Macaca fascicularis: one gene and its partners. The protein of the gene in region 1 interacts with the protein of each later gene in a biochemical or structural test. Links are inferred from orthologs where the notes say so. Each region holds a gene or a part of one and is shown on either strand. Other genes may lie near its edges. The genes, in order: SMAD3, LEF1, SMURF2, TFE3, SKI, ERBIN and NEDD9.

Region 1 (3,500 bases):
GAAGGACGAGGTCTGCGTGAATCCCTACCACTACCAGAGAGTAGAGACACCAGGTATGCTACCTGGCCCGCCTGTGGGGACAGCAGGTGCTGGGGTCGTCACCTCTCCCCCGACCCCCCCACCCCCCCCGAGGGTCTGTGGTGCACTTGGGGGTGCGGGGACTTTGGTGCTGGTCTGGCATCGACACTGAGCCACCTCTGCTCTGTCTCCCCCGGACAGTTCTACCTCCTGTGTTGGTGCCACGCCACACAGAGATCCCGGCCGAGTTCCCCCCACTGGACGACTACAGCCATTCCATCCCCGAAAACACTAACTTCCCCGCGGGCATCGAGCCCCAGAGCAATATTCCAGGTAGGCACGTGGGCGGCATAGGCTGACCTGGGAGGCAGGGGCAACGGTCAGACATCAGTCCTGTGGCCCCAGTCTCTGCCCCCTGGCCGTCCCCCGTTCATCCCCTCTCTCTGCACAGCTCTGGCCTGAGGGCCCCTGACTCAGAACCACATCCCTGTTGGGAGAGGACCCATGACCTCAGCTCCCCCCTTACTAGTGATGCTTTTTTTGGCATAGAGGAGCAGCGTGACCCTTCCGCCCGGCCTTGGTGCAGTCATTTATTTTGGAAGCGGAAATAGCAACACTGTTTCTCTCACCGCCCATGAGGCCGGGACTGGCGTTCAGTCCCCAGTGGACCGGGGGTCTGCAGAGGCGGGGAGTGAGCTGAGGGCCAGGCAGCAAGTGCGGAGAGCTGGTTCTGTAAATTCGCCTGGGCATCGGGCCTCGGTGAGGGGCCCCAACCTGGGTGGGAATTGAAGGAACTTTGAGTTTTCACTCTGCAGGGAGAAATGGGCTTTGCTGTCAAAGACTGCAAATGTTTTTAGAAGCCCCTCATTTACATGCAAATAATGTGTGAATCACCAGCACTTTCCGACTCCAGGAAAGCTGTGCTTGGCAGCACTTGGGTAGTCACTTTTGCTTGCTGGGGCAGTAATCCTGCTGCGTTCCTCTTAGAGCATGCTAATTTGGACGTGACGTTCATCCTGGGTTAGTTTACTGAGCTGAGGTTGGCTACAGACCTGTGTGCTTGGGTCAGAGTGTTAAGGAGAGACCCACTGTCCAACCTTCTCAGATCCTTTGCGGGTAGCCCTGGCGTCCCAGGGGTAAGTCAACTACTCTGTGTTCAAATAGCAAACTTTGGAGGGCTTCAGTCAGGGTCTGGGGGAGGTTTCAGAGAAGTAGATCGCACTGTGTTTGCGACCATTGAATTTGTAACCTAACTGCTGAGTGAGGACACATCCCCTAGAGACGGTAGAGGGTGGGTCTGAGCCTGCAGGTCTTCAGAGGACAAAGAGGGGTGAGGCAGAGGCAAGTCCAGACGCCTCCCTGGAGGGGGTGGGGCTTAACCCTCACCTTGAAAGACCAGGAGAAGTTAGCCTGGTGGAGGCTCTAGGAGTATACACTTCAGACGTGGGAGTTGGTCCGGTTGTGCGTGAGCAAAGGCAGTTACGATCCAAGTGGGAGTCAGAGGTGGACAGGGGCGAGGACAACAGAACCAAGAGCTGGAACCTCTACTCCGAGACCTGGAACTCCTGCAGCCAGGGACACTAGCATCATGGTGTGCATGTGTGATGTGTTTGCAAAAGGTGTCTCAGAGCCCAGCTGTGAAGGCCTTTTAACGGACCTCCTTCCTTCTCATTCCCAGAGACCCCACCCCCTGGCTACCTGAGTGAAGATGGAGAAACCAGTGACCACCAGATGAACCACAGCATGGACGCAGGTCAGTCATGCAGGCATATGCTCTTATTCTTAACTGATTAGCAGCCGGTGGGTTCAGCCCTTCCATCCCTTCCTGTTCGCCCCCTTCCTCCCTCTCTCCTCTCTCTCTCCAGTATTTGTAGAGCAACCATGATGTGCAAGGGGCAGGGCATAGGAGAGGGTCCGAGCTGCCCACGGATGATGGGGGAGATTGACAGGACAGCCAGCAGTCACTGGGCCATCTCGTGTGTGCCCTCATGGAAGATGCCGCATGGCACCAGGCACACAGCAGGGCCACTTCATCTGGTCTGGGGAGGAACAGCACCTTGCAGTCCAGGTTTTTCCCCACGTTGAGTCTTGGTGATGTGTAGGTGTTAGCCTAGCCAAGCTGTCAGAGTGGGCAAGGGGTGTGCCAGGCAGAGTCATGGGAATTGGGCAATTCTGGGTGCATTCTGAGCCTGGTGCATTCTGGGGACAGTAAGAGCTCGGTGTGTCTGGAGTCCGGAGAGTGTCCAGCCCAGGGAGCTCAGCATGACTGGAGGATACACTCTCTCCAGTGGGGAGAATGATGGGAGGGCCTACCACACAGGGCTCCGGGTGTGATGGACCTTCAAGCTGGCAAGACCACTTGGCATTGAGTCAGGGCTGATGGGAACCACTGCAGGCTGTAAGCAGGGCCTGGGCCTTAGTGAGATGTCACCGGCAGCAGGGTGGAGAGTGGCCTCGATCACCTCAAGAAGTCAGGTGGGAGGCAAGAAAAGACTGAATGGAACTAATGCCTCTTCTGATGACCAGTGGAGACCCCTGAAGCCAGTATTTTTGTGTGACAACCACATGTGATATGTGTGCTCCTGCCGTGAGGGGCAGGCTTTAGTTCTCGCCTGCTACATCTCCAGATGTTTTCCATATCATTTGTTATAGGACCAAATTGGCTCCAGACCAGCAGCTTCTTGAATTGAACCCCAGCTGCCACATAGAATGTGTACTGAGTTGTGTGTGGTTGGGAGAGGGGGAGAAGGGGAGAGGGAGCCACGCAGATGTTCCATTCTGATGGTGGTGGGCATGCCTCATACGCACAGAGCCGCTAGACACAGCGGAGCCACCTGCCCTCGCACACAGCCCAGAAGAGATTGTGCGGTTCCTTCCCCCACCCGCCCCAGACGGAGTCTCCCTCTGTTGCCCAGGCTGGAGTGCAATGGCGTGATCTCAGCTCACTGCAACCTCTGCCTCCTGGGTTCAAGCTATTATCGCGCCTCAGTCTTCTGGGTAGCTGGGATTACAGGCAATGCAGCACCACGCCCAGCTCAGTTTTGTATTTTTAGTAGAGACAGGGTTTCACCATGTTGGCCAGGCTGGTCTCAAACTCCTGACCTCAGGTGATCCGCCCGCCTCAGCCTCCCAAAGTGTGGGATTACACCGCATCCAGCTGAGGTTGTGCAATTCCTGAGAGAACGAAAGAGATTCGCATGTCCGTTGTAGTTGCTGAAATCCAGCCTGGACATCGTGGCACTTTTGGGTTGAGCACACCCGGTGGAACACACCCGCCCGGCGGAGTGGCTAGCAGCGCGAACCAGCTGGAATGCATCGAAGACCTTCCTGTATCCGATGCCAAGAGACGGCTGCAAGCTTGCAGCTCTTCAGTGCAGGCACGGGAAGCAGGCCAGTGGAGCAACATGTCTCCAGCTGCTGTGTGTCTCCCCACTCTGCGCTCCCTCTTCCCCCTCTGCTGCTCTCCGTATTTGCGCAGTGAT
Region 2 (4,274 bases), on another chromosome or scaffold:
GTAGTAGTTATTAGTAGGTGAAGTTTTAAGTGCTCACTTAGATACAGCATTGTTAAAATCTTTACCCATTCAATATTCAGCAGCCTGAAATTTCACCTTTAGGAAAATAAGAGGAATCTTTGCTAGACCATTCCTATATAACAGAGCAAAATCTGATTCTGTAGTGTTTTCCTTATTTTCAATTTAAGGGAGATGAAGATACATTTCTTTATGTCCTTTGTTTACTGTTCTGAAGTTTTACAGATGGCTACTGTATTGGATATAATAATTTTGCCTAGATTTTTAACAGAGGGGGTTTGAGAACCAAGGGACAAAATGTAATGTGTTTTCAAACTTCAGCTTCCCTTCTGCTGTAACTTTCACAAAGTATCTCCTGAAAACTCCTGTCTTTGTACAAAATGCATCAAAGACATAGTGGAGACTGGGGAATTTTTGAGGTTGTATTCGGATTTGCATCTTCAAGGGTTCCTTTCAGCTCGCAGTCCAAGGTGCCAGGGACTACCCCGTCCTCCCTCCCTCTTTTGGCTTTGCTCTCCCGAGTCCTTTTGCCTTCTCTTCCCCCTTCTTGGATTATCTTTTCATTCTCGATGAGGTTCCCACACACTGCGGTGTGTGTCTTTGAAAACCCACGAGAGACCTAGCACAACTCTCCGTACATCCCGTGGTGAGGACAGAATGAAAGAGATATTGTTTAAAAAGCAATAATTAAAATCTAGTCTTCAGTTCCTTCTTCCTCGTCATATTTTTTCTCGGTAAGCCTGGAGATTTTATTTTCACTAGCGTGTTCCCTTGTTTCCAAAGAGCGTGTGTATGATATTATATTCGGGAAAGCCACAACTCTCTTTTCCTTGTCCTTCTGTTCTCTCTTAATAGTTGAGCAATGTCTGTTATATTTTTCCCTTTTCCTTCTTTTCTCAGTCCCAGATTCCCGCCTCTCCCCACTGTCAGAGCATCTATCAATGTGGTGTCGATCACAGCGGCGGCGGCTTTCTCTTTCATCTTCCTCCCCCGGCCAGAGCGAGGGAGGGAGAGTGGGAGGCGTCAAGGAGGTAGGGGAGAGACTGGCAGAGGAAAAGGAGTGGGTGGGTGGGGGCCAAGAAAATAGATACTTAGATGATGAAGTCAAGCCATTGCGGCAATGTTTCTTGTCAATTTCACGCGGGCAAAGCGTGCCTCTCGGTGGGTTATAAGCAGCGCCGGGTCATTCCTTCTCTCGCCAAGTTGCCTGATCCTTCCCTCCAGGCGCGCGCGCACACACACACTCACACACCCCAAAACCAATACTCGTCCTACAGGATCTGGGAAAAGAAAAAGAAAAAAAAGCCCTCAATCACCACCTCCTTCTCGCCGACTCCCCCTCACCCCCCGCCTCCCCTCCAGCGGGCAGCCAAGGAGAGCTGGAGGCGGGGGAGGGGAGAGGGAGGAGAAGCGACGCAAGTGGGTAGCTTTTCAGCGCCGGCTAGGCGCGGGAGGAGGAGAAGCAGTGGGGAGGCGCAGCAGCTCACCTGCGGGGCAGGGCGCGGAGGAGGGACCCGGGCTGCGCGCTCTCGGGCCGAAGAACCAGGACGCGCCCGGAGCCTCGCACGCGGCCAAGCTCGGGGTGTCCCCTCCCCTCGGCTGGGCGAACCCAAGGGGCGCAGCTCTTTGCTTTGACAGAGCTGGCCGACGGAGGCGTGCAGATCCGCGAGCCGGCTAGCCAAGCTGAGAAATTCGAGCCGGGAACAAAGAGGGGTCGGGCTGAGTGTGTGTGTCGGCTCGAGCTCCGGGCAGAAGCATTTGGGCCCGAGGTCCCCGCTGTGACTACCCGAGACTCCGCCGTGCCCTCCACTGCGGAGTCCCCGCGCTTGCCGGCAAAAACTTTATTCTTGGCAAACTTCTCTTTCTCTTCCCCGCCTCCTCGGCCCCCACCTTCTCCTCCTCCTCCTTCTCTAGCAGATTAAATGAGCCTCGAGAAGGAAAACCGAAGCGAAAGGGAAGAAAATAAGAAGCTCTAAAACGGACATCTCCAGCGTGGGTGGCTCTTTTTTCTTTTTCTTTTTTCCCACCCTTCAGGAAGTGGACGTTTCGTTATCTTCTGATCCTTGCACCTTCTTTGCTGGGGCAAACGGGGGCTTTTTGCCCAGACCCCCTCTCTTTTCTCGGCAAACAAACTACTAAGTCGGCATCCGGGGTAACTACAGTGGAGAGGGTGTCCGCGGAGACGCGCCGCCGGACCCTCCTCTGCACTTTGGAGAGTGGTGCTCCCTCCAGAACCGGCGTCCTCCGCGCGCAAATCCCGGCGACGCGGGGGGCGTGGGGTGGCCGCCGGGGCAGCCTAGCCTAGCGCGCGCCGCGCAGACGCCCCCGGAGGCGCCAGCTACCGCGGCCCTCGCCGCCCAGTGCCCTTCGGCCTCGGGGGCGGGCGCCGGCGTCGGTCTCCGCGAAGCGGGAAAGCGCGGCGGCCGCCGGGATTCGGGCGCCGCGGCAGCTGCTCCGGCTGCCGGCCGGCGGCCCCGCGCTCACCCGCCCCGCTTCCGCCTGCTGTCCTCCTGTACGAACCCTTCCAACTCTCCTTTCCTCCCCCACCCTTGAGTTACCCCTCTGTCTTTCCTGCTGTTGCCGCGGGTGCTCCCACAGCGGAGCGGAGATTACAGAGCCGCCGGGATGCCCCAACTCTCCGGAGGAGGTGGCGGCGGCGGGGGGGACCCGGAACTCTGCGCCACTGACGAGATGATCCCCTTCAAGGACGAGGGCGATCCTCAGAAGGAAAAGATCTTCGCCGAGATCAGTCACCCTGAAGAGGAAGGCGATTTAGCTGACATCAAGTCCTCCTTGGTGAACGAGTCTGAAATCATCCCAGCCAGCAACGGACACGAGGTGAGCGGGCCGCTGCCCCAGTTCCGAGAGGCGTGGCGGGTCCCTGGGAAACGCAGAGAGGGAGGAAGGGAGGGAAGGCGCCCGGCCGAGGGTCCCGAGTAGATCCCTCGTTTGTTTTGGGGTGTGTGCGTAGCTGGGGCCCCGGTCCGCATTGCATATATGTGTGTGTGTGTGTGTGTGTGTGTGTGTGTGTGTGTGTGTGTGTGTGTAGAATGGGAGGTAGAGGGGCAGGGAAACTTATTCCAACTGGATCAGTTTAGGGGGTTCGGTGGCTGAACGGTTGGTTCGTGGGCAGGAAAACGTGCCCTTAACCCACAATGTTTCGTCTTCGGTCTTTTTGTTGGGCTGAGGAGTGCCAGGCTTTAAAGCGAGTATGGCTGAATAACGCTACTGAGAAATTCTTCCGTGGGACGGAAAACAAAGTGCACCCGCTATCTTTTGGTAGATGTCTCTGCAAAAGTGCGTTAAACCACCAGAGGCTTAGGTGGAGACGAGCAGAGCCACAGGCAGGAGGAAGGGGAGGCGGGCGTGGGCTGGGGCAGGCGGGGCCGTCCCTACCACCGCCGAGACCGGCCGCAGGGAGCCGGCCGGCCTAGGGGGCGCGCGCCCGGGCTGCGGGGGCGGTGCGGGGTTCAGTCCCTGCGGCCCCAGAGCCTGGGCTGGCAGCTGGGAGCTGTGGGTGCGCCGAGCCGAGCCACCCCAAGCTGTACCGCCCCCAACTCTAGTTTTCTCCAACCGCCATCACTTGGAAACAAACCCACAACTTTTATTTGGGGTTTGGGACCGGATCAGGCCTTAAATCTATGTAAAAGAAAGGCGGAGAAGCGGCGGAAGCCGGACACTAGTCCGGCAGGGCGGAAGGCGCTTTATCGGGTCTTCTGGTCCGCTGCGGGCAATAGAGCTGGTAACCTGAGTAGAGTAAATAGAGACACGTGGGTGCTGGCTGGAGAAAGCGCGGAGCGGGGCCGCGCTGGAGGGCTGTTTGAAGCCTAGTCCAGAGCTGGTAGGGGGCGGATGGACCCTGATACCCGACACTCCACTGGTCACTCTTGTTCCACAACTGGGAAACCTTTCTCTGGAGGAAATCCGGTAGAAAAGTCCTGACACCCGAATGATTTAACCAACGCCTTTTCCCTCCAAAGAAACTTGAAGGATATACCTTTTTTTTTCCCTTAAATGGCATCTTTCTACCCCCAAAAAGAAAGTGTGTGGTTTTGAGGGCGGGGACATTTTGGGTTTTAAACAGCGCGTTTAAGAACATCTCAGATCTGCCTTCTCTATCCCAATGGCAGAGGTGAGTACGCATTTTGAAAGGCTGGGGGCCTGCGTTCAGAGAACAGAAGGGTGTTCTTTACCCGTTGAATCCAGTTTGAGCGGGATGGGGGCGGGAGTAGGGTGCACCTAACCCCGCGTAAAAG
Region 3 (3,500 bases), on another chromosome or scaffold:
AAAAAACTAGTATATTCTATTTTTAAAAGTACTTTATATGATTATTTCCTCAATGTGATGTAAATTCTGTTCCAAACCTGCATGTGTTAGAATAGCAAATTCTTGCTGCCATTGCTTTTAATGAAGTGGCGATTGTTGGAACCATACTTTTAGATAAGAACTAATTGTTGAATTTAAGCTAAGAACTGATTCTGTTTTGCAAGAGGTCGTTATTTTTATGAAGATACACTGGAAATGTTTATTTTTTATAAAGTATACAGTGGCTTTCTCAACTAGGGATACACAGGCACTTGGCCCCTTGGAGTACAGTACCGAGTAGCGCTCTTCAGAATGCCAAATATAACTGAAATTGTCCTATATTGGTGGTTCTAGCAAGTCCCAGCTTTGACCAGGGCTCTTTCTCATCACTCAGGAAGTTAAATGTTTCCTGTGTTTATGCAGGTTAAAGCTCTTTGACTTTTCTGTCCAGAAAGAACTAGGTAGTGTGGTAGTTTAAGAGTTCATAAGCTGAATCTGACCTCACATTTGTCATATTATAAAATGATCTTAGTTTTATCTCACCAGTTAATACATCTATAGGGTCTGTATTTTAGGTTTCCCAGTTACCTATCTCTTCCTCTTTCCTTTCCAGTGAGAATGATATTACAGGTGTTTTGGACCATACCTTCTGTGTTGAACATAATGCATATGGTGAAATTATTCAGCATGAACTTAAACCAAATGGCAAAAGTATCCCTGTTAATGAAGAAAATAAAAAAGAATATGTCAGGTAAACACTCCTGTGTTCTCAAGGCTGAATTTTTTTTAAATGTTCTAGGATGTTAGTATGAACAAATTTAAATATTTAGATAGTATTACTTAGTGTTACAAAATCCGCTTCAGCAGAATTTAGTGGCTTATTAAGAACAGCCATTTTATTATTTCTCACAATTCCAAGGGTCAGGAAATTGGGCAAAAGAACAACATGGATGACACACTGCTGTTCCACAAGATGTCAGCTAGGCCTGCAACACCAAGATGGCCTCTTCACTCATAACTAGGATAACTCAAATGGCCGAGGGCTAGCTGGCATGGCTGTCGACTGGGGTCACTGGCTGGGTCCTAGTTCTCATTGTTGGCTGAGTTCCTTGGTTCTCCCTCTGTGATATCAAAGGCCATTCCCTCTCTCCATGACCACTCCCTCTCCCCATAGCCACTCTTTCTCCCTGAAAAGTTTGTCCCTTCATTGTAATGAAGGTTAATCATGTTACCCACTGTATTGATAGACTTCTTATGGGGTGGCCAGCTTTCCAAAGCTCAAAAGCAGAAGCTGCTAGATCTTTTTAAGGCCTAAGCCTGGTCCTGGCCAACATGACTTCTGTCTAGTTCTGGTTAAACTGAGACAGCCAGCCCAGTTTCATCATGGAAGAGGAGCTGTACAAAGGTGTGAATACCAGGAGATGTGGGCAATGGGGCCATGTGTGGTGTAGCTATCACAGGTGGCAATTCAGAAGGGCTTTTGTGCTGTATATTACTAACATTTAGCCTGTTTATAAACAAGCACATTGTGAGTTTAGGGATAAATGTAAATAAATGTTTTTCAGATTTCATAAAGTAAATTTGAGGAATTTTTATGTATTGGGCTAATTTGGCTTATGAGAAATAAAAAGTCTACCAAACAAAACTGTGGTAATCAGCTTTGGAAGTTTGAACTTGAACTTTACTGTATGTACACAGAAACTTGCATGCTATACTTTTTTTGTATAGATCATGTTCTCAAATCTTACTAACATTGTTCCTAGTTTAAAAATGAGGTCCACTTGATTGGAGTGAACACTGGCATAGCTTTTCTGGAAAGTGGTTTGATACCAGCAGTACATGCCCTTTAGCAGCTCTGTGTTTAGGACTCTTCTGCAGAAACACACATGTAATTGAAGAAGTACAGGAAAGGATGGTCAATTAAATACTACTTGTAAAAATTACACTACTAAAATCTTTTTAGAGAAGAATGATTATATTATACATTCAACAGAATATTATGTGGATATTTAAAAGAAAGACTGCATAAGCTGTCATATTTTAAAACTAAATCTTACAAGAATTATGTAGGAACAAAGTCTATGTTTTTTTGTTTTGTTTTGTTTTTTGTTTTCTTTTGTTTTTCTTTGAGACAGAGTCTCACTCTGTTGCCCAGGCTGGAGTGCAGTGGCACAATCTTGGCTCACTGCAACCTCTGCCTCCCAGGTTCAAGTGATTCTCCTGCCTCAGCCTCCCGAGTAGCTGGGAGTACAGGTGCGCACCACCACACCCGGCGAATTTTTGTATTATTGGCAGAGATGGGGTTTCACCATATTGACCATGCTGTTCTCAAACTCCTGACCTCATGATCTGCTTGCCTTGGCCTCCCAAAGTGTTGGGATTACAGCGTAAGCCACCGTGCCTGGCTGGTTTTTTTTTTTTTTTTATAATTATACTGAAGATGTTCAGGAGGCTGCAGTCAAATAAAGTTTTTGCCTAGGATGAGGGAGTGGAGGTGATGGGACTGGAAATAGGGAGGAGAAAGAGGGTAAAAGAATGGACTTTCATATTTTACTGTCTCCATAGTTAATGTTTGTTTTTTTGTTACATGCATAAAAAGTATGTATTACATTTCTACTTTAAAAAATGAAAGAACAGGCTGGGTGTGGTGGCTCATGCCTGTAATCCCAGCATTTTGGGAGGCCAGAGTGGGTGGATCAGCTGAGGTCAAGAGTTTGAGACCAGCCTAGCTAACATGGTGAAACCTTGTCTCTACTAAAAATACAAAAATTAGCCAAGTGTGTTGGCAGGCACCTGTAATCCTAGCTGCTTTGAAGGCTGAGGCAGGAGAACCACTTGAACCTGGGAGGTGGAGGTTGCAGTAAGCTGAGATCACACCACTGCACTCCAGCCTGGGCGACAGAGCGAAACTCTATCTAATATAAATTTAAAATAATAAAAAAAGAAAGAACAAATGAGAATTTCCTAAGTCTTAGCAGTATCTCCTTTTCAAGACCTCGTGTGTCCTGCTCAGTCCCTGGATCCCACTCTCCAGGGTTCAGTCGTGTTTACAGCACACGGTACTAATGTCTTGCCAGCTACAGTTTTGAGATTAAAAATTACAAAGAAAAATTTTTACAGTTGTACAGTTTTTCTGTCCCCTTAGCCCAGCAAACAGAAATATGGTCCTCCAAAGGATGTGTTGTTAAGTAACTTCTCTCTTGAAGTGGAGAACCATTTCTCCAGATTTGGAAATGGTAACAAATTTGACAGATGAGTAAGTTCTGTGATGTGTGAGATGGAGAGGTCTTCTTGGGTAGGTAGATAAATAAAAGCAATTCACTTATAAATCATACAGTCACACAGTAGATGTAGTTTAGTGCATTTTTTATTGGTAAAATTACATCTTCCAGAATTTTTATATCCTCTAGAGAACAATGATTATTTAATCAAAAAGCACTTGCTATTGGCTTTTACTGTTTCTTCTCATTTTTGGTTTGAGG
Region 4 (2,620 bases), on another chromosome or scaffold:
AGAGCCAGACTCCGTCTCAAAAAAAAAAAAAAAAAAAATACAAAAAATTAGGCCGGGCGCGGTGGCTCAAGCCTGTAATCCCAGCACTTTGGGAGGCCGAGACGGGCGGATCACGATGTCAGGAGATCGAGACCATCCTGGCTAACACGGTGAAACCCCGTCTCTACTAAGAAATACAAAAAACTAGCCGGGCGAGGTGGCAGGCGCCTGTAGTCCCAGCTACTCGGGAGGCTGAGGCCGGAGAATGGCGTGAACCCGGGAGGCGGAGCTTGCAGTGAGCTGAGATCCGGCCACTGCACTCCAGCCTGGGCTACAGAGCGAGACTCCGTCTCAAAAAAAAAAAAAAAAAAAAAATAGCCGGGCGTGGTGGCGGGTGCCTGTAGTCCCAGCTACTCGGGAGGCTGAGGCAGGAGAATGGCGTGAACCGGGGGGGCGGAGCTTGCAGTGAGCCGAGATCGCGCCACTGCACTCCAGCCTAGGGCACAGAGCAAGACTCCGTCTCAAAAAAAAAAAAAAAAAAAAGATGGCCGGTGCGGTGGGAGGGCAGGTGGATCACGAGATCAGGAGATCGAGACCATCCTGGCCAATATGCTGAAACCCCATCTCTATTAAAAATACAAAAATTAGCCGGGTATGGTGGTGGGCACCTGTAATCCCAGCACTTGAGGAGGCGAGAGGGGTGGATCACTTGAGGTCAAGAGTTGGAGACCAGCCTGGCCAACATGGTGAAACCCCATCTCTATAAAAAATACAAAAAAAATTAGCGGGGCATGGTGGCACAGGCCTGTAATCCCAGCTACTCAGAAGATTGAGGCAGGAGAATCGCTTGAACCCGGGAGGTGGAAGTTACAGTGAGCTGAGATTGTGCCACTGCACTCCAGCCTGAGTGACAGAGCGAGACTCCATCCCCCACCCCCTTCCCCCAAAAAAAAGGAGAAGAGAAAGATTTATTTATTGAGCCTCTGGTTTGTGCCAGGTACCATATTAGGCCCTAAAGATACCAGAGGGAGGCTGGGCATGGTGGCTCACGCATATAATCCCAGCACTTTGGGAGGCCGAGGTGGGCAGATCACGAGGTCAGAAGGTCGAGACCATCCTGGCTAACACAGTGAAACCCCAGCTCTACTAAAAATACAAGAAATTAGCCAGGTGTGGTGGTGGGCGCCTGTAGTCCCAGCTACTCGGGAGACTGGGACAGGAGAATGGCGTGAACCCGGGAGGCTGAGCTGACAGTGAGCTGAGATCGCACCACTGCACTCCAGCCTGGGTGACAGAGCAAGACTCTGTCTCAAAAAAAAAAAAAAAAAAATACCAGAGGGAACAAAACAGACCTCATGAAACTGATGTTTTAGTAGGGGCAGACAAATAGTAAATAAGTAAACATCCATGAGATCCATTATGATGAGTGTTATGAGAAGAATAAAGACTGGAAGGAAAATGGGAGAATGTTGGAGAGGGTTACAGTTTGGGGTAAGGAAGGTGAGGATAGGGCAGGCCCCAACTGACAAGGAAACGTTTGAATAAAGATCCTAAGGAGGCAAGGGAGGGAGCCGCATAGGTGTCTGGGGGTAAGAGTATTCAAGGCAGAGGGCACAGCTGGGATTGATGCCCTGAGATGGGAATGGTTTTCCGTATTCTAGGAGCACTGAGATACCAATGTGGCTGTAGTGAGATCAATCAGAGAGACATAGGGAAGAGAGGAATCCTAAGGGGTCAGGTCAGAGACGGCTTCCAGGGTTTGGAGTGTGATGGGGCACCGTTGGAAGATTCCAGGCGGGAAGTTTTCCTCTGGGTACTCCATATCTTTAAAGGACCCCAGCCTCAAGTTCTAGGCATGTGGTGGGAGGTTCCCACCTGGTGCAATCCCCGCCTCAGCTCCTGAGAAACCCCTCATGTGGCATTTCCCACTTGCCTCCCACTTGGGCCCCACAGGGAGATGCGCTGGAACAAGGGCACCATCCTGAAGGCCTCTGTGGATTATATCCGCAAGCTGCAGAAGGAGCAACAGCGCTCCAAAGACCTGGAGAGCCGGCAGCGATCCCTGGAGCAGGCCAACCGCAGCCTGCAGCTCCGAATTCAGGTTTGAAAAGAGGAGATGGTGGTGGGGGAAGTAGGGGAGAGCTTCCTGCAGGTGGAGACAGAGAGAAAGCGGGCCAGGGTTTCCCTTCCTGGCATACTTGGGGTATCCCCGGGCTTCCCAACTCACATGATGGTGATAGTGATAATGATAAGTAATAATCATAATGTTAACAGGGATAATATTGCTAACGTACATAACTTTTAGCTTGTGCTCTGTACTGTGACAAGAGCTTTATATTCACTAACTTATTCAATCCTCACAATTCTATGAGATAGGGGCTTTTTTTGTTTTGTTTTGTTTGACACGGAGTTTTGCTCTTGTTGCCTAGGCTGGAGTGCAATGGCACAATCTCGGCTCACTGCAACCTCCGCCTCCCGGGTTCAAGCAGTTCTCCTGTCTCAGTCTCCTGAGTAGCTACGATTATAGGCATGCACCACCACGCCCAGCTAATTTTTGTATTTTTAGTAGATATGGGGTTTCTCCATGTTGGTCAGGCTGGTCTCAAACTCCCGACCTCAGGTGATCCACCTACCTCAGCCT
Region 5 (4,177 bases), on another chromosome or scaffold:
CCTCCCCTGGAGACCACCTGGCCGACTGTCCAACTTCGGGGCCCCGGGCTTCCCGCTTCCCGCCCTGCCATGGCTTGGGTCTCTCCCACTGCGTGGCCAGGCGTGGAGGGCCGACCTGGCCCCGAAAGCCGTCTCAGCGCTCCGAGGCCCTGGGGCGGAGGGCAAGGGTCTCGCCGGCCTGCCCGCCGGGACCCGCGGGACCGAAATTCTGATAAGCCACCTGGCCGGGGTGGCTGGCAAACCGGCCGCGTCGGGGGCACCCGACGCCGCCCCTCTCAGGCCCGAAACCCCTGGCCCGCGCATCAGGGACAGTCCGCCCGGGGCCGTCGGGCGGGGCGGGGCTGGCGCGGGCGGGAGCCGTGGACACTCGGCCACCGGGCCACGGGGCAGCGGGGGCCGCTGGGCTGCGCCGCCAGGGTCACGCGGCGCGGTGCCTGTCTCGGCGCGGGGTCCCTGGGCGTGGCCGCTGTCCCCCTCGTGTGTGGTACCCCAGGTCACCGTGTGGCGTCCCGGTAGTGTGTGGGACCCCAGAGGCGTCCGGGGCCTCCCCGCTGTGTGGCGTCCCACCCTGGGAGAACCCCGGCTGCGTGGCGTGGCCCCCCGGCCTCCCCCAGCTGGTTTGCGGTCGTGGCGGGGGCCTGTGGGTTTCTGGGCCCCGGCGGCGGCGAGACGGGCGCCTTCCCAGCCGCGCAGGAAGCGGCCTCGGCCGGAAGGGGGGCCCCGGGCGCCACCGCCGCCTCCGCCTCCGCCCGCGCCGAGCGGCCTTCGACGGGCGGGGCCGAGCGGGGCCGAGCGGAGTCGAGCATGGCCGAGCGGAGCCGAGTCCTGGCCGAGAGTAGCCGAGTCGTGGCAGGGCGGGTCCGAGCGTGGCCGAGTCCCGGGCGAGCGGAGCCGAGCGCGGCCGAGTCCGGGCGGGGAGCGCGCGTTCCTGGAAGAGCCCGACTGGGGAGCGGGTCACATTCTTGGCCAGCGCTCGGGCTGAGGCGGACGCACGGCAACAAACAGCGCGGGGGGCGGGGCCGGCGCGGGGCGGAGCAGGCGGCGCGGGGCGGGGCGGCGCGGCGGCGGCGTGAGCTCAGCGCCGGGCGCTCAGTCCGAGCCGGAGCGAGCCGCCGGGAGGATGTGCGCCGAGCGCCCCGAGCCCCGCGCCGCCGCCGCGCTCTGAGGGCCGCGGGCGAGAGGCGCCTCCGCCGCCCCGGAAGCCGGGCGGGCGGGCCGCGGAGCCGGCGGGCGGGCGGGCCGGGGGCCGGCGGCGGGCGCGACGCGGCCGGCCAGCGCCGCCGGGACGAGCCGGGCGGGCGCCGCGCGGTGGGAGGAGCGGGGCGGCGGCGGCGCGCCGCGCGAGGACGGCCCGGCGGGCCCCGCGCCCGCGCCCCCGCTCCTCCCGGGCCCCTCGGCCTCGGCCGCCGCGGCGATTCGCGCCTCGCGGCGCCGGCACCTGCCCGCGCGCCCCCCGCGAGCCCCGGGCCCGCGAGCGTTGGCGTTGGCGTTGGCGGCGCGCGCCGGGGCATGCCCCGCGCCTAGAGCCCGGGGGGCGCGCGGGGGACGCGCGGGGGGCCCGGGCGGCGGCGGGCGCGGCGCGGGGCGCGTGGATGTGGCGCCGGGCCCGGGCGGCGGCGGGCTCCAGCGGCGGGACCCCTTCGCCCCGCCCGCCTTCCCCTTCGCGCCCCCGGGCGAGGCCGCGGCCGTGATCGGCCGTGAGCCGGCGGCGGGGGGCGGCCGGGGTCGGGGCCGCGGGCGCCGCCGGGGCGCGCGGGGCGGCGGCGGGGGCCGGGGGGGCCCGGGCGCGCGGGAGCGGGAGCGGCCGGGGGAGACGGAGCGCACCATGGAGGCGGCGGCAGGCGGCCGCGGCTGCTTCCAGCCGCACCCGGGGCTGCAGAAGACGCTGGAGCAGTTCCACCTGAGCTCTATGAGCTCGCTGGGCGGCCCGGCCGCCTTCTCGGCGCGCTGGGCGCAGGAGGCCTACAAGAAGGAGAGCGCCAAGGAGGCGGGCGCGGCCGCGGTGCCGGCGCCGGTGCCCGCAGCCACCGAGCCGCCGCCCGTGCTGCACCTGCCCGCCATCCAGCCGCCGCCGCCCGTGCTGCCCGGTCCCTTCTTCATGCCGTCCGATCGCTCCACTGAGCGCTGCGAGACCGTGCTAGAAGGCGAGACCATCTCGTGCTTCGTGGTGGGAGGCGAGAAGCGTCTGTGTCTGCCGCAGATCCTCAACTCGGTGCTGCGCGACTTCTCGCTGCAGCAGATCAACTCGGTGTGCGACGAGCTCCACATCTACTGCTCGCGCTGCACGGCCGACCAGCTGGAGATCCTCAAAGTCATGGGCATCCTGCCCTTCTCGGCGCCCTCGTGCGGGCTCATCACCAAGACGGACGCCGAGCGCCTGTGCAACGCGCTGCTCTACGGCGGCGCCTACCCGCCGCCCTGCAAGAAGGAGCTGGCCGCCAGCCTGGCGCTGGGCCTGGAGCTCAGCGAGCGCAGCGTCCGCGTGTACCACGAGTGCTTCGGCAAGTGTAAGGGGCTGCTGGTGCCGGAGCTCTACAGCAGCCCGAGCGCCGCCTGCATCCAGTGCCTGGACTGCCGCCTCATGTACCCGCCGCACAAGTTCGTGGTGCACTCGCACAAGGCCCTGGAGAACCGGACCTGCCACTGGGGCTTCGACTCGGCCAACTGGCGGGCCTACATCCTGCTGAGCCAGGACTACACGGGCAAGGAGGAGCAGGCGCGCCTCGGTCGCTGCCTGGACGACGTGAAGGAGAAGTTCGACTACGGCAACAAGTACAAGCGGCGGGTGCCCCGGGTGAGTGGCCCCAGGCCTGGGAGCAGGGGTGGATGTGCTTGCGGTGGGGGACCCTTCTGGGCCACAGGCTCTGGTCTCCAAAGGCTGGGACCTGTGTTTCTGCCGTGCCCCATGTGTCAAGTCTTTGCTTTGTTTTAGGGAAATTCAGAGTGTTCCCCTTGGCAGGGCCAGAGGGTTTAGTAGGAAGGCCCTCCTGCCCTTTCCCCCAGGAGGAGCCTGGAGTGGGGGCTGTGGCGGTGGGGTGGGGGCTAGGCCTGGTGTGTGGGGAAGGCCCACAGGCCCATAGCCTTTGCCCAGATAGGATAGGAAGGCACAGGCCTCCTATGCTCCCGGGAAAGCGGCCTGCTCCGAGGTCAGGGAAGTTAGCTCCAGTTGGGCCCCAGCCGGATGCCTCAGGCCCAGGTCTTCCTTGGGGTTGGGGTGGAGGTGACTGCCCTCACCCCGAAGGCACCCAGCCTCGAAGACGGAGGGCTGCCTGCCCTTGGGCCCCAGGAGACAGAGCTTGGGCGAGACGAGGCCTGGTTTTGTTACTGGCTCCCGGTCCATGTTTGTTGCCTTGAAGTTTTGGGACAGAGACACAAAATGAAGCCAGGTGTTCAGGCTGCAGCGACAGGGGCCTGAGACTGGGCGGCTCCAGCACTGTGCTGGTTGGTCTCCCTGGGCCTGCCAGGGACCAAATCCCAGAGTGCCCCGTGTGGGGTGAGGGCCACTTGGCACCCGGCTGAGGGCCTGGTCAGCAGGCCCCTGGGCCCACATGCTGGAGTTACTGGCGGCTTGGGATTTGTTTTGGACTCACCCATTTCCTTCTCTCCTTCTGAAACGCAGAGGGGTGCGCCGGGGAGGGAGGCCGCTGGCCTGGCTTTGTAGTTTGCCAGTTGGAGGATCTACGGGATCCGGCATGGGCAGCTCCCAGGCCACGAGGCACCGAAATTACTCAGTGGGGTCCTCAGGAACTTTCCGTTGCATACCTCCCCAAGTATGTGTAACTTTTCTTTTAAATATCCAGGCTTATTAAATTGCACACACAGAATGCTGCATTGGCTCAGCTATTCTTGGGAGGCCTAATTAATTCAGCTATTGCATCAAACTTTTTTTTTCTGAATCTGTGAATAGATGCTCCAGCCCGGTTTTCTCTGGGCGCCCCTCCAGCAGAGTGTCAGATCGTGGGGAGGAGGGGCTGTGGATGGAAGCGAGGGACTGTCGCCTCTGCGCGGAGGGGGCTGCGGAGGGTGCATGTGCGTGTGCCTGTGTGTGTGCGTGTGTGTGTGCAGGGGTGCTTCTGACCCTGCCAGGCCAGGGCTCAGGTGGCAGCTGCCTGCAGACCTGTGGGCTGGGGACGGATGCTCGTGGCAGAGCTGCAGACAGACCTCGCAGGCTGGGACC
Region 6 (3,500 bases), on another chromosome or scaffold:
ATCTTACGAAACAAGCCACTAAACAGAGATACTGTGTAATTTAGATGTCCCACAAGTGGAAACTGATAATAATATACATGTTTTGTGTTTATATACTATGGCATTAAAATCTATGATGTCTAAAAAGTAAAACAGGGTCAATTTTAATTGATTCCTATCCTTATAAGACAAGCAATAAAATTAGGAGCTATGCTTTATATAATCTCAGCTCTGCCTTTAACTCACTAACTCATTAACATAATATTCTATGTTGTATTTCACTTCATCTGACCAAATGTTTATTTTTGATGAATTCTTATGTTTATGTTTGCTTGGACTTAACCCATCAGTATTTAAATATAGATGTTGTGGCATTATAACTTTTTCTGAAATAGTAAGTTTCCTTTATTTTCATATTAACTCAGATTCGAGTGAGGGTTGAAAAGGATCCAGAACTTGGATTTAGCATATCAGGTGGTGTCGGGGGTAGAGGAAACCCATTCAGACCTGATGATGATGTAAGTTTTCTTTGTATATTCTTGAAACACCTATAAAGTTTTATTTGCTGATTCAATACTTATATGTAAGTGAAAATCTAGTAGATGTTTATGTAAATCTAGGTAGACATCACCTTGATTCCCCACTCTATTGCTTACCTTTTTGTTTTGTAATTTGATCAGTTCAAGTTAAAACAATTTAACCAAAAACTATGAATGTTTGTGATATTATCAAGTGATCTTTAATTTTCTTATTGCTTTTTCACACATCTATAAAAGCAATTTTATTACTCTCAAGAGAAATCACTGAAGTCAGAATTACTAGAGGTAAAAATAGCTAGTTTGTTACAGTATTACTCAGAGAAGTCAGGGAGAAAACTTGTACCGTGATTGAAATATTTGCATGGTGTGGAGGAGAAGTTGCTCCTTGGTACTCTGTTATTTATACATACTGTTTTTAGTTAAATAAACAATTTTTTTTTGTTATTAAAGGGTATATTTGTAACAAGGGTACAGCCTGAAGGACCAGCATCAAAATTACTGCAGCCAGGTGATAAAATTATTCAGGTAATTAAAATAAATCTTTGTTTTTCATTTTATAACACTCTAATGTTTTCATAGTTTAAAATGTTTTCACTTCAACTTTGAAAATCGTGGGAGGCTGAGGCAGGAGAATGGCATGAACCCGGGAGGCGGAGCTTGCAGTGACCTGAGATCACGCCACTCTACTCCAACCTGGGCGACAGAGCGAGACTCAGTCTCAAAAAAAAAAAGTTTGATACATCATAGGATTTTGTTTAAGCTCAGGAATGTTAATTTTTACTAATTTGAGGGGGATTAGAGTACTACTTCTTGGATGTGGGCTATTGGCCTTTCAGAAATGGAGAAGAAAATTTTTAAATCTGAGAAACTCATTTTTTCCTGTCCCTTCCTTTTCTTTGTTCTTTCAGCTACTCATTTTACGTAAACACTTGCAGTCTTAGAAGAAGACAAGCCTAGGACACAAGTCTAGCTCTCATTTTCTACCCCTACCATCACTGTTCTTAGTTGAGAACTAAAGAACTAAAAAATAACCCTCAAACCAAGAAAAAAAAAAAGAGAGAGACATTAATATCTAGTAGCTGAAAGTACAGATTCTGAAAACCAGACTTCCCGAGTTTAAATTCTGGTTCCAACACTTTTTAAAAATAAAATTAATTAAAAAAAAAAATTTAAATAATTTCAAGCTTAGAGAAAAGCCACAAAAATAGTACAATAAACACCAATATTACATCATTTGGTCACCAGTTGTTCATAATTTGCTACATTGTCTTTAGCGTTTATTCTCCTCTTTCTTCTGCTTTTCTCCCTCCGTCTATACACACACACACACACACACAGAGAGAGAGTCACACTCACTCATACACTCATACAGTTATACGCGTTTATTTTCCTGAACCATTTGGGAATCTGTAGTTTCAATTTGTGACCGAGCAAGTTACTTTACCTCTCCATGCCTGGGCTTTCTCTTCTCTAAAATAAGATGGTGAAAGAATCTTTTTTGAGCATTATGAGACTCAAAGGATCTAATTCATATTACACACTTAGAATTGTGTATTTGGTACACAGTAGAACCTCAGTAAATATTAACCTTAATTGTAAGAAATATGGTGGTCTTGATGTGATGGCTTCAAGACAATCGGAAGGCTAGCCCTTGCCCCTTGCTGTGCTACAGTTTGGTCACCTCAGACGCACATTAGCATTATACAGCACCATGTCTGACATTATTTCTTAGTGATTCCTAACATTGAACTGCTACATGAGAATTGTCTGAAAAGTTGGACAAAACACACATTTCTAGACCCCATCTTCAGAGACTTTATTCCTTGGTTTGGGTAGGGCCTGTGAATCTACATGTTATTCTAAGTTGCCAAAGTGATTCTTATTTTCTTACAGGTTTGTGAACTACTTGGCAGAAATGCAAATAAATTACTATAAAATGTTTTTCCTAAAAGCATTTTTCCTCTTTCTTCCAGGCTAATGGCTACAGTTTTATAAATATTGAACATGGACAAGCAGTGTCCTTGCTAAAAACTTTCCAGAATACAGTTGAACTCATCATTGTACGAGAAGTTTCCTCATAAGCACTGTGGACAAAAAAAGGGGGGAAGACAGCAAGATTTATTGGAAGATACTTGCAGGGGAAATTAATATTTTGACTATTTTTATATATAAAGAAGAACTCAAAAAATTATGTTCAAATTTGTACATTAATGAAGTAATGGAACTTGTGGTTAGAGGGAAAGAACCACTGTACAGAATATAAAGGAGACTGTTGAATTCATACCATATAAAACTTGTTAGGTTTTTAAACATAGCAATCAAGGCTACAAAAACAAACCTGTGTTGTTTTTGTATAGATTGTAGGTTTATTTTTGGATTTCATATACATGACTGAACTGTGTGCAAGGCAATAGTTAGCCTTGATTTTAGCCCAGAGACAGATGGCAGAGCTATCTCTCTCATAGCTTTTATGCCCTTATTTTTATTCAACTGGTATTAATGTTTTTCTCCTGAAACTACTTTTTTTTGATGTGGGTAAGAGATTTGAAGTGTTGGCTTTTGCTATGTGCATATTGAATTGAAGAGTGAGTAGGTGAAGGTGGTGCTGGTGGGTTCACTTTCCAAGGCCAGATTAAAACAGTTATTTTCTATAAAAATCTGGAAGCAAAGAATGGGGATGGGGGGTACTATGTGGTAGTATGTTTTTATTAAGAGAATAATGCAATAAAATAGGTAATGTCTTTTTTATAAAGCAAAAAAGACAATAATTGCATTTTATGAGCTCGGCAGGATCTGTTCTTGTCATAGCCATTGACTATACATTTCCTACTGGTGATTCAGTTTTTAATTTTTTAGTCACAGGAAATTTTTAACTCTACTGTGGTTGCATGTCCATGCATTCTCTGTGTTATGGAAATCCCGATTTTTTTTTTTTTTTTTGCAAATGGTGGTACTTGCAATCTGTTTTATAATTAGCGCTCC
Region 7 (3,977 bases), on another chromosome or scaffold:
GGAAGCAGAAGTTGCAGTGAGTCACACTGCACTCTAGCCTGGGTGACAGAGCGAGACTTTGTCTCAAAAAAAATAATAATCATAAACTCACTTTTTAAAAAACTTAAATACATTTATATTTTAAAAGAAATGTTTATACCACTCCTACAAAAAAAAAAAAAAAAAAAAAACAGGCCATTGTGGTTTAATACAAGGTAATCATAAAAAACACGTACAGGAAAATAAAGCCATGTTAATAATTTGTAGCTAGCTACCAGTGCCTGTTGATGGCTCCGAGCCTCAGATGGAGTTTCTCTTTGTTAAAACAGTAAGGAGCCAAGAGTTAGAAAGGCTTTAAGATCAGGCTCAATGTGACTTCATGCTTTGTCTATGCATCTTGTGCTACACAAAATTCTCCTATTTGTGTTTCACACTACAGAAATTTTGATCAAATGAGTTGTGAAGGTGACAGACAAGCAGGACAAAGTGAAGGTCATTTGCAGTAGGACACATCTTTGTGCTGTGTGGGTTTGCATGAAGAAACGTTGAGCCTAAGGTGCTCTCCCTGAGCTGTGCCTGTGCCCTTTCTCCAAGCCAAATCCAGAAGAAGAGAAGGGGGATCCTTGAATGGATATGTGGGAAATCAAAACTCAGAGTCTAAGGTCAAATGGAGATGGAGCTGATCATTGGAGAACAGAGTACTAAACTCTTTAAGTACCTACAGCAGGAGGTGGCTGGTGGTCTTAGCTTGGGTTACCCCGGAAGTAGACCCAATGCAGAGTTCGAGGACACGTAGTTTAAGAAATGATCCCAGGAAGCATTGACGGGGAGTGAAGGAGTATACAGGGAAGGAGAGAAGCCATAAAGGGCCCCACCACTGTGGGCAACTGGAGCTTGATCCCATGTAGATTATTCCACTCAGGACTGAGGGAGCTGAAATATTTACAGCCTTTGAGGAGTTCATTTCTGGGAATTTTCGTCTGTCATTTGGGCAATTGCAGTTGGCCCTATGTGACTTGGAGAAAGCTCTCAGGTCATGAGTTAAAGACTCAGGTTGTCAGCAGCCAGCTCAGTCAGTGAGGCCTGGAGGAGGGAGGCAGGACACTGACTACTTCGGACACCCCTTCTCTGCCAGATGCTTAAATGTTTGCTTTCCAATCTAATCCTTACCACAGCCATTCAATATAGCTCTTTCCCCTTATTTACATGTAGAGGAAGAGACACCAGGAATTACATCATTTGACCCGTACAGCCTGTCCTCTCCTACACCTCTGCTTCTATCTTCCTAGTCTCCTACTTCTTCTTCTTCTTCTTTTTTTTTTTTTTTTGAGACAGGATCTCACTCTGTCACCCAAGCTGGAGTGAAGTGGTGCAATCATAGCTCACTGCAGCCTTGACCTCCTGGGCTCAAGCAATCCTCCCACCTTAGCCTCCTGCAAAGCTGGGACTATAGGCACACACCACTGCGCCCAGCTATCTTGTTTAAGTAGTGACGTACAAAGTGACAGCCACTAAATAGGTGTTAAATAAATTAACCAATTAACAAGAAATGGTGGAGCGCTAGCTGAACACTGATTTCATATCCTTTCTTTTCCACCAACTCTACTCCCCACATTCTTAGAACGGGAATGTCCTTGAAAGTAACCAAGCTTGGAAGAAAACAGAAACAAAGAAGAAAACTATTTGGCTGATTTCCAGGATTCTGCCATGGACAATTGCTCTTTACACCCAATTCTGGGTGAGAAACCAGCTTCTGGGCAGGGGAAGGAGGGCCTCTTTATGCAGGAGTTTAAATGACTAGAGTGCCTACTCTCACTTCTCAACACAAGCAAAGGGAAAAGATTGGTGGCCGATCTCTGCATAGTTTGGAACTACATATAACCCTTTCAGAACGATCGTCCCCTTTGTGATTATAGATGGTCTTCATTTTGAAATAATTTCAGCAAGATGAAAAGGTTGCCTCAAGTCCTTCATGGAAGAAAGGCAATTGAATGAATGAAGGAAGGAAGAAATGAATGAATGGGTTAAGTGAAAGAATAAACATAGAGAAAAGTAAGGATGGAACTCTTGGGTGGCCCACTATGGACAGGGAGAACACAGTGTGCTGTCACTTGTCCTCAGTCCCTTGGAGATGATGCTAATGACTACAGGGATAGGACACACAGAATCCAATTCTCAGTCACCATTTCTAGCCAGTCAGGACTCATGCCCAAAGAGGCTGAAAAGGACGTAAATGATTCTAATCCATCATAAAGAATAAGTGACGGCTCACACCTTGAAGTACTGAAATAATTCAGGAAAAAAAAAAGCTTAGTTGCTGTCAGGTAAGCTCTCTGACAACAGTAAGAAGAGGGGAGGGGCCATGTACTTACGCACCAGGAAGCATCCACCCAGAACAATTTCAAAAGTAGAAATCTTGCGGGTTTGAATGTTGCACTAAAACCAGCACCTCCAGGTCAACTCGGAGACCTGGAGTCACTCATTCCTCTTTTGGGGCACGTGGAGATCCTCCCTGACCCAGTTGAGGGGTGTTCACAGTGGGGAAACACCACCAGATGTCTGGCACCGACTCAGGAAGTAGGAGCCTGAGTGAGTCCCTCCTCTCCCACAGGCCACGGCAAGTGGCTGAGAACTCACCCAAGGGCAGGATGGCACCGTCGATGGATCATTTTGCCTCCCTGACGCTCTGGCCCTGTCTCTGGGCCGGCGGGCGGGAGGTGACAGCTAGTCCTGCTGCAGGCTCATGCTTCCCTCTCCATGCAGCGAGCGGACTTGCTTCTAAAGGCAGCTGTAAGCATTTCCCTACTGAGCCACCACACACGTCGGATGTGAGTGGCGTATGTATATGTGTGTTTTTCCTTCCGGTTGCTGTGAAGTGATGTTGTCTTGGTTCATTTCCTCTCTGTGCCTCTTCTTTTTTTTCTCGGTCACACTTTCTGATTCGCTGAGGACATTGTAGTTTAGGGACAGGTAAGAAAGCTTGTTCTCATCTGGCTTCTTTGCTATTTTTAGAAAGGTGATCTTTAAATTAGTATTGCAAGGAAATTTGTCAAAATGTATTTTTCTGCGTGGCATAAGCTCCCTCCTAGGCTGCACTGAAGCAAAAGTTAGGCATTTCCAAGCCAACTGAATTGGGATTTTATGGTTTTATGGACTTCGTATGTTGCAAAGGGTTCCACTATTAATTGACACAAAACATTCTTTCATAAGACAAGTGTTTATTGAGCTTGTACACTGGAATAGACACTATGCTAGGGGCTAGGTGCTCAAAGAGTTTCCTACTTACAATGTGATATGGAAGCCTAGATCTGTGTATGTGGACGGGAATTTGAAAGCCCACACCTTTTGTCTTCTTCATTCTGTGCTTTCGAGTAGCAGACAAGTGGCTCTGAGACAAGCCTCCTGGGTTTGAATTATAACTCTGCTCTTTAAACACTTCTGGCCTTTCTGTGCCACGGCCTCCTCATCTGTAAAATGGGAACAGTCACAGGAGTGTTGTGAGAATTAAGCAAATTAGTACATGTAAAGCACTCCAAGAGTGCCTGGCACAAATAGAGTAAGCACAATGTAAGTGTTTGCTATGATCATTAGTGGCAACTTTGTATTATTATCAACTGAGATCTTTGCTATTTTCCTACCCTTCCTCATTTTCCACTCCTTGCTCGTGCCTAGCAAATGCCTTGAGGACATAGAGGGTTGAGAGGAAAGAGAGAGAGGTGGTTTGAATAATGGATGTCCCCAAATGATCCTGTGGTGCCTGATGTTTCTGCTCCAACTTGTTCCTGCTCCATCATGAAGACAAAGAAAGGGCCGCCCTTGGTCCCACCCATCAGACTCAGCTCATGTGTGTTGCGCTCTTGTGGCATCTCTTTTGTTGTTGTTCTGTTTTGTTTTAATTTTCTGTAAGACTTCTCTGAAATTCATTTAATTTTAAATGTTTGAGCTTGTTCAAATCTTGCTAAAGAATATTCTGCTCATACAAAGATGCCACACTTAAA

Evidence for each region.
Region 2: the proteins of SMAD3 (region 1) and LEF1 form a complex in vitro, tested with the Homo sapiens proteins (2 studies listed by BioGRID, with this or other methods). The link is inferred for Macaca fascicularis from reciprocal best matches to the Homo sapiens genes SMAD3 and LEF1.
Region 3: the proteins of SMAD3 (region 1) and SMURF2 form a complex in vitro, tested with the Homo sapiens proteins (2 studies listed by BioGRID and IntAct, with this or other methods). The link is inferred for Macaca fascicularis from reciprocal best matches to the Homo sapiens genes SMAD3 and SMURF2.
Region 4: the proteins of SMAD3 (region 1) and TFE3 form a complex in vitro, tested with the Homo sapiens proteins (2 studies listed by BioGRID). The link is inferred for Macaca fascicularis from reciprocal best matches to the Homo sapiens genes SMAD3 and TFE3.
Region 5: the proteins of SMAD3 (region 1) and SKI form a complex in vitro, tested with the Homo sapiens proteins (8 studies listed by BioGRID and IntAct). The link is inferred for Macaca fascicularis from reciprocal best matches to the Homo sapiens genes SMAD3 and SKI.
Region 6: the proteins of SMAD3 (region 1) and ERBIN form a complex in vitro, tested with the Homo sapiens proteins (2 studies listed by BioGRID). The link is inferred for Macaca fascicularis from reciprocal best matches to the Homo sapiens genes SMAD3 and ERBIN.
Region 7: the proteins of SMAD3 (region 1) and NEDD9 form a complex in vitro, tested with the Homo sapiens proteins (2 studies listed by BioGRID). The link is inferred for Macaca fascicularis from reciprocal best matches to the Homo sapiens genes SMAD3 and NEDD9.

The regions. Positions count from the first base shown.
Region 1 is NC_088381.1:43,874,575-43,878,074, forward strand, and holds part of SMAD3 (mothers against decapentaplegic homolog 3), read left to right. Parts: coding exon 1-53; intron 54-219; coding exon 220-351; intron 352-1,085; exon of another isoform or gene 1,086-1,154; intron 1,155-1,430; exon of another isoform or gene 1,431-1,609; intron 1,610-1,696; coding exon 1,697-1,771; intron 1,772-3,228; coding exon 3,229-3,408; intron 3,409-3,500. UniProt on the Homo sapiens protein: Receptor-regulated SMAD (R-SMAD) that is an intracellular signal transducer and transcriptional modulator activated by TGF-beta (transforming growth factor) and activin type 1 receptor kinases.
Region 2 is NC_088379.1:113,780,145-113,784,418, reverse strand, and holds the start of LEF1 (lymphoid enhancer-binding factor 1), read left to right. Parts: upstream 1-1,474; 5' UTR 1,475-2,643; coding exon 2,644-2,856; intron 2,857-3,330; exon of another isoform or gene 3,331-4,141; coding exon of another isoform or gene 4,142-4,150; intron 4,151-4,274. UniProt on the Homo sapiens protein: Transcription factor that binds DNA in a sequence-specific manner. Participates in the Wnt signaling pathway. Activates transcription of target genes in the presence of CTNNB1 and EP300.
Region 3 is NC_088390.1:71,145,891-71,149,390, reverse strand, and holds part of SMURF2 (E3 ubiquitin-protein ligase SMURF2), read left to right. Parts: intron 1-631; coding exon 632-769; intron 770-3,500. UniProt on the Homo sapiens protein: E3 ubiquitin-protein ligase which accepts ubiquitin from an E2 ubiquitin-conjugating enzyme in the form of a thioester and then directly transfers the ubiquitin to targeted substrates.
Region 4 is NC_088395.1:49,189,299-49,191,918, reverse strand, and holds part of TFE3 (transcription factor E3), read left to right. Parts: intron 1-1,932; coding exon 1,933-2,080; intron 2,081-2,620. UniProt on the Homo sapiens protein: Transcription factor that acts as a master regulator of lysosomal biogenesis and immune response.
Region 5 is NC_088375.1:232,546,674-232,550,850, reverse strand, and holds the start of SKI (ski oncogene), read left to right. Parts: upstream 1-1,377; 5' UTR 1,378-1,825; coding exon 1,826-2,794; intron 2,795-4,177. UniProt on the Homo sapiens protein: May play a role in terminal differentiation of skeletal muscle cells but not in the determination of cells to the myogenic lineage. Functions as a repressor of TGF-beta signaling.
Region 6 is NC_088380.1:71,776,542-71,780,041, forward strand, and holds part of ERBIN (erbin), read left to right. Parts: intron 1-404; coding exon 405-497; intron 498-968; coding exon 969-1,043; intron 1,044-2,491; coding exon 2,492-2,599; 3' UTR 2,600-3,500. UniProt on the Homo sapiens protein: Acts as an adapter for the receptor ERBB2, in epithelia. By binding the unphosphorylated 'Tyr-1248' of receptor ERBB2, it may contribute to stabilize this unphosphorylated state.
Region 7 is NC_088378.1:161,565,300-161,569,276, reverse strand, and holds the start of NEDD9 (enhancer of filamentation 1), read right to left. Parts: upstream 2,801-3,977; 5' UTR 2,617-2,800; intron 1-2,616. UniProt on the Homo sapiens protein: Scaffolding protein which plays a central coordinating role for tyrosine-kinase-based signaling related to cell adhesion. As a focal adhesion protein, plays a role in embryonic fibroblast migration.